Linked DNA regions of Arabidopsis thaliana. The protein of the gene in region 1 interacts with the protein of each later gene in a pairwise test. Each region holds a gene or a part of one and is shown in the gene's direction. Other genes may lie near its edges.

Region 1 (4,071 bases):
GTTTTGTTTTATAATTCAAGAAAAAAAAAAGTTTTTTAGGTTTTTTTTTTCTCTTCACGTTATGGTATTTTGGTTGCAGAATAATCTTTGCCAAGATCAATGGGGAAGCAACTTGCTAAGAAGATCACTTGGGCTATCGAGAATTTTTCATCTTTACATTCAAAGAAAATTTATTCTGATCCATTCATCGTCGGTGGATGTAAATGGTAAGGCGTTTTCCTTCGGTGATTGATCCTCTACACAGTTTTGCTGACTCTCTTATTAATTAGACTTTATTTTTGCAGGCGTTTTCTTGTCTATCCCAAGGGAAATAATGTTGATTACTTATTTCTGTATTTGGAAGTAGCTGATTATGAATCATTGTCACCCGAATGGAGAAGACATGCCCGATATCTCCTAAATGTAGTAAATCAAAATTCGGTGAAACGTTCCAAACAAAATGGTACTTATTTCTTCTCACTACTGTTTTCTCCAAATATATTTTAATGATCACAAACACAAACATTTTGTTTTGCTACATCGTATATCTGGTGAGTGGTGATTTGTGAGACTCGTTTTGGGACTTGAGTTAAATGTTGCTCAAGGGTGTTTGTGTGGGATCATGGTGTTACTGTTGTATTAGTTGTTAGCATTGTTGTTCAATCCACAGAAACATATATAATTCATTTAGTCCTTTGTTTGCACGTAAATGGAGTGATTATATAAATTCTGTTTCTGATTTTACAGAAGAACAAAAGTGGTTTGATGTGCAGTCTCCTCGCTGGGGTCGCCTATCCATGTTTCCTCTAAATGAAATCAATGCCAAAGATAGCGGGTTTCTGGTTAATGGAGAACTCAAGATTGTTGCCGAGATAGAGGTTCTTGAAGTTATTGGGAAACTCGATGTGTCAGAGGAAACTTCAACAATAATGGAAAGCATGGATTTTAATGGCTTTCAACTTCTTCCCTCACAGGTTAAAATTAAGAATGCTACTAACGTTTTGTGTAGAATATATTCAACAACAAGAGACAACATGATGTGTTCAATATTTATGGATTCTATTTTGTAACTCTCAGGTGGACTTTGTGAGGCATATGTTTGAAAAACACCCAGAGATTGCATCTGAATTCCGTTTAAAGAACCCAAATCTTAGGGCAGGTTACATGAGCTTGCTACTCAGTCTCATTGAGACTCTGCGCCAGTCGCCTCAGGAGCTCAACAAGGTTGATCTAGCTGAGGGATATGTTGCACTCAGATCCATAACTGATGCTGGATTTAAGGTTGATTGGTTGGAGAAGAAACTTGTTGAGATATCAGAAAAGAAGAATAAAGAGGAGGCTGGTGAAACTCGGATGCAGGAAATCAATGAAGAGCTGGAAAGTTTGAAACAGAAATGCTTAGACCTGGAAGCTCAGCTGGAGAAGGAGAAAGCAGAGGTCTTTGCTGCAAAATCTCCTCTATCATTCAATGATGTTTTTTAATATTTTTGAGATAGAGATTTTATTCTCCTTGGTCTGTTCGTTTGCATTGTGGTTTTGTTTAGATAAATTAACAACTGCTACGTTATTTCACCTTTTTGGAACAGTTTCTGCTATCATTGTTTCATCAAAATTCTTTTTACAAATTTTTAATATCTGAGTTACTGTTATGATGACAAAAAAAATATGATCACAGCTTTGTCTAAAAAAAGTACCAAAATCAAAATACATGAGAGAAAATAAGGGAAATAAATTGAGAGGAGAAAGAAGTAGCTGACATGAGAGAGTCTGAAGAATATGGTCGAGATAAGAACGAGGAAGAAGAAGAATCTCATCGAGATGGAAAGAAAGAGAAAGAAGATTCGTTCAAAAGTTATCCCTTTTCCCCAAAGACAGAATCTAGGTTGCCCATGCTCCAAGTAACCCTAAGAGGATCCGCAAGCGATTCGTATCCCTCATGTACGTAATCTAAATGATTAACAAATCATCAAACTTTTGAGGCTTCGAAACCATATATATAGATATGCTGCTTGATATTGTTAGTTGAGATCTCAGCTTGGATTCCAAGGGTTTTCTTCTCTTCATGTTGTGCTAGTTTTTTCTTTGATTTGCTTTTTAATTTTTTAAATGTTCTGTTAGTTTGATTGCAGAGGAAGCTTCACCAAGTATCAATGGGGAAGCAATTCGATAAGAAGATCACTTGGACAATTAAAAATTTCGCCTCTTTGCTATCTGACCTCATTTATTCTGATCATTTTGTCGTTGGTGGCTGCAAATGGTAAGAATTTTTCTTATGTTTTTAGTCTATTTTAGGTTTCCTTGATATCTTTTGTTTTCTTTTATTTTTGTTCAGGCATCTACGGGCCTATCCCAAGGGATATAATAATGCTAATTCTTTGTCCTTGTTTCTTGGTGTTGCTGTTCCTACTTCTCTGCCTTCTGGATGGAGAAGACACACTAAATTTCGTCTAACTCTAGTAAATCAATTATCAGATAAACTCTCTCAGTCAAAACTTAATGGTAAGAACTTATTACCACTGCTAGCTTTGCAAGAGTTCCTCTCTAATTTTTTTTATTATTATTTTTTTTTGTGTGTGATTGATTTTACAGAACTAGAACAGTGGTTTGATGAGAAGACTACCAACTGGGGTCTTTCATCCATGTGTCCCCTAAATGAAATTCATGCCAAAGATAGCGGATTTCTGTTAAACGGGGAACTTAAGATTGTTGTCGAGATCAAAGTTCTTGAAACTATTGGCAAATTAGATGTGACAGAGGAAACTTCAACAATCACGGAAACTGTGGATGTTAATGGCTTTCAACTCCTTCCTTCACAAGTAAGAAAATAACATCATTTTGTGTAGAAATTTTATCCACGAGAGAAAACACGATGTGTTTGTTCTATGATATGGTGCTTTTGTGGTGTCTCCGGGAACTTCTATTTGGATATGCATTCTACTTCATTTTCACCTTTTTCACTCACAGGCAAAATCTGTGAGTCGTATGTTTGCAAAACACCCAGAGCTTGCATCTGATTTACGTCCAAAGAACCCAAATCTCAGGACAGGTTACATGAGTCTACTACTCAGTCTGATTGAGACTCTGAGCCAGTTACCTCAGCAAATGTCAAAGGATGATCTGTTGGATGCTTACGATGCACTGGGATCCATGAGAGATGCTGGATTTAAACTGGATTGGTTGGAGAAGAAACTTTATGAAGTGTCAGAAAAGAAGGAGAATGAGGAGGCTAGTGAGACTGGGCTGCAAGAAATGGAGGAAGAGTTGAAGGACATGAAGCAGAAGTGTTTAGAAATGGAAGCTCTGGTTGAGAAGGAGAAGGCAAAAGTGTCGACTGCAAAAGCTCCTATCTCATTCGATGATATTGTTTGATGCTTCTTGTGTTTTTAAGACACTTGGAGTTTGGTTTTACTTGGTGTTGTGGGATGTTCTTGCTAATGAGTCCTCTTAAAACTTAGGAAGATAAAAGAGACCCTGTGTTGTATATATCCACAATGTTGTAAAATGTAACTCTCTTGATTTCTGTAAAGAGTTGATCATATATAGAGAGTATAGAATCTATATTACTCAAAACAAATTCAACATAATGACTTGCATATCGAATACGCTTTTTGGTCTTACTAGAGCAGGCTTGAAAGTGGTTTGGTTGCGTCAGAAGTTGCTTCAGGCTTACTTGAAGAAGGAGTAACAGAGAGTTAGTGGTCCCAGGATCAAAGAACTCGAGGAACAGATCAAGAAGCGAAAGCTGGCTTTGTCTGATTTGGAATCCGAACTTAAGAAAGAGAAAGCTGCCGCTTTGGCTTCTAAAGTTCGAATTAGTTTCAGGGATGTTGTTTGAATGCATGAATCATAAATCATTAGTCTTTTTACTTCTCCATTCCTTATTTCAGCACCTTCCTTGTGTTGGAGATTTTAGGTTTCTCTCGTCGTTACTTGTGAATCAAGTATCAAATAAGTCTTAACGCTTTACTCTTAAGGTTTTTGCAAGTTTTATTTTGAAAATGCGTGCGTACTACTTTATCAGAATTATCTACGCATCTTAATTATTTAATCCAAGTTTTGATTTAACGAATCTATTTTATGTATTTATTTTTT
Region 2 (2,965 bases), on another chromosome or scaffold:
GAAGTCACAATGGAATCATCTCTCAAATATTTCTATCTCATGGTCCCACCGGTGTTTTCTCTATCCAGTTCCAGTTCATGCTCGACGATACATTTTTCTTATCCTCCTGCCACGGTCAGAATACTGGCAGCATGTTTGACGTTGTGAGTGTGTTCTGTTTTTGTTTTTCTTCATTAGTACACGAATCACTAGATTCGAAATTTACTAACAACAACTTAATGTACTTAATTATATATATTGATCTCACGAACATGGTTAATATAAATTAAAATGTGGATTTTGGGCTATGCAGATACTTTTGAACTGCCCACATGAGTACATAACAGGAATTAGTGGAGAGTATCTCAAGTCCGATGGCGCTAGCGGCCCTCAGATAAGGTCTCTTGCATTTGCTACCAACCTTAATCAGTACGGTCCTTTTGGCGGCTCGAGCTCTCAGTCTTCGATTTGGAATCACGAACAACAGTTCAGATTCAAACTAGGGAAATTTCGCCAGTTCAGCGGTTTCTATGGGACATATAATGCCTCGGGACTACAAAATATCGGTGTTTATCTCCAACCAACAATTGTTAAACCTACCGGTACACGCAATGCAGAGGAAACTGAGTCAAACATTGTTTTGGGTTAAATGAAATTGTGTATTAATCTTAAACCTTCTTCAGCCTCTACATGCGTTTATATCAATATCTTTCGAACTTTGTATGAATAAAATTACTTTACGTGTGTGTGATGCGTCTGTAAATATATACACATGCATTAAGCATATAAATAATCATTGGTTCAACCATATTCCTCGTTGCCCAGCAGGGAATATATTTTCCCACAAACACAATTAATCCTCAATATAGGGACCATATGGTCTCAACTCTCAAGTCTCAACAACGACATCTCACAGATTTATTTTTCTATCAGAAGATGTTTTTGGGATAACCTCCATCCGGAAAAACATTTTGCTAATTTAAAATTCTCTTAAATGTATTAATCAAAAATTACTAGAATCCTCCGCACCAAGTTTTTTTAATAATTACTAGAATCCTTTTTCTTTGAAATAATTCTAATATGAGACATTCAAATAAATACATATTATCCTGCAAGATTTATGTATATAAATAACTTATTAATCATGACTACTGAGGCGTGCAAATAAAACCCTATTTTGAGTTAAATACATATAGTCTAAATATGTGTATAAAACTTGAATATTTTTGTCTTTAAAAACAGCCAAATACAATTGAAATTGTAATGACATTAGAAAAAACTATACTTATGTCTCGACCAACGTAGTAAATCGTTTTAACAGACTAAGATAATCATTGCATTACATAATTTTCATCCGACAATACATTCTTTCAAAATTCGACTCTTTGTCAAAGCAAATGAAAGAAAGGAAATAATTTGCTAGATGAAGCTATGCAAGATTGTAAACGAATATTCCAATCTGAGGCGTCAAAATAAGAACATTATCTTAAAGAATCTCTAGTAACAAATCTATTAGTCATTTCATTAAAACAAATTGGGTAATGGAGAGAAGAAGCAAAGATAAATGCAATAAAACAATGAATCGTAAGATGAATTACTAATATCAAATTGGATAGGCATATTCCAATCTGAGACTTCAGAGTTAGAGAACTTTGAATCTCTACATGTATATATATTAATGTTATGCTATTTTCGTTATGTAACCAAACAAAAGAGCTTTTGAGTTTTGGTCGTACAAAAAAAAAGAAAGGGAAAATGAAGATAGGACCTGTAGGGAAGCATGATGCTAGAAGCACTACAATTGTAAACTGGGACGAAGGATCTCACGATGGCTTCATCTCTCAGATTTTTCTATCTCATGGCGTCGCTGGAATTATGTCTATCCAATTCCAGTTCGTGATGGACGGAAAACTCGTTTTATCCGATCGTCACGGTCCATTTTCCGGCAACATGTTTGACGTTGTAAGTCTGATTTTTGACTCTTCTTTTTTCTCCGTCACAATTTCTACTTCCAACTAAAATGCTAAGAACATGGTTATAACTTTTTTTTTATAACTTAATATGTGATTTGGACCCAGCAGATAGAGCTCAACTATCCGCATGAGTACATAACTGGAATCAGTGGAGAGTATTACAAGTATGAAGCCAACAATCCTCACATGAGGTCTCTCAAATTCAATACCAACACTAGCGAGTACGGTCCTTTTGGCACCTCCGGTTCGAGCAACGACAAATTTGCTTTTAAACTCGGGAAATCTCCTCAGTTCGGCGGTTTCCATGGGACTTATGATGCCTCGGGACTACAGTACATTGGTGTTTATCTCCGCCCAAAAACAGTTCTACCCAAAATAGATACGGGCAATGCAGAGGAAACAGAGTCAAAAATTGTACTGGGCTGAAAGTGTTTGTATACGACTCTATTCTGCTGATTGTACATTCTTAATTATGAAAATTCTTCTATGAATAAACTGATATGTGTAACATATAATCGTCAAAATACTTTAACCTTTATGATACAACATTAACAATACCAGATGTACCTAGAACAGAACTCACTATCTTCGAAAAATGCATTAACAAGGATATTGTTGGGAATAATTACACTCAAGCTAGCAGGTCTTATAGATGTTGTACTGCCTATGCATTTCGCTGAATCAATCCTGTGCTATGATCACTGCTAGGTAAACAAATGCTAGAAAATGCCCCAAGGTATCACAAAATCCACGCAAACAGAACACCAAAGTGTTGCAAAATGTGGGAGTTATTGAACTGTTTACTAACTTGACAGTAACCAGCAATAACATCAACATAACATGACAAGACACAGAAGAATGCACATAGATTCAGGTTACCTTATTAGCACGAGGAGACGGCCGCCAAGGCCACATAGCTTGGATTCGAAGCTTACAAAACACGGGAGCACCATATCCTTGTGTGGCCTCTATTCAGCAGGTTTAAATAGCGATATACACCCAGATCTTTATTG

Evidence for each region. Proteins that work in one complex are often made in the same cells at the same time.
Region 2: the proteins of RTM3 (region 1) and RTM1 interact in a two-hybrid assay, tested with the Arabidopsis thaliana proteins (one study listed by BioGRID).

What each region holds. Positions count from the first base shown.
Region 1 is NC_003074.8:21,590,895-21,594,965, reverse strand, and holds RTM3 (RESTRICTED TEV MOVEMENT 3), read left to right. Parts: upstream 1-2,027; 5' UTR 2,028-2,129; coding exon 2,130-2,236; intron 2,237-2,311; coding exon 2,312-2,478; intron 2,479-2,568; coding exon 2,569-2,795; intron 2,796-2,943; coding exon 2,944-3,348; 3' UTR 3,349-3,557; downstream 3,558-4,071. Other genes in the region: AT3G58360 (TRAF-like family protein), read left to right, coding at 100-206, 285-442, 727-953, 1,057-1,461.
Region 2 is NC_003070.9:1,723,210-1,726,174, reverse strand, and holds RTM1 (Mannose-binding lectin superfamily protein), read left to right. Parts: upstream 1-1,640; 5' UTR 1,641-1,662; coding exon 1,663-1,941; exon of another isoform or gene 1,942-2,060; coding exon 2,061-2,378; 3' UTR 2,379-2,441; downstream 2,442-2,965. Other genes in the region: AT1G05770 (Mannose-binding lectin superfamily protein), read left to right, coding at 1-143, 293-628.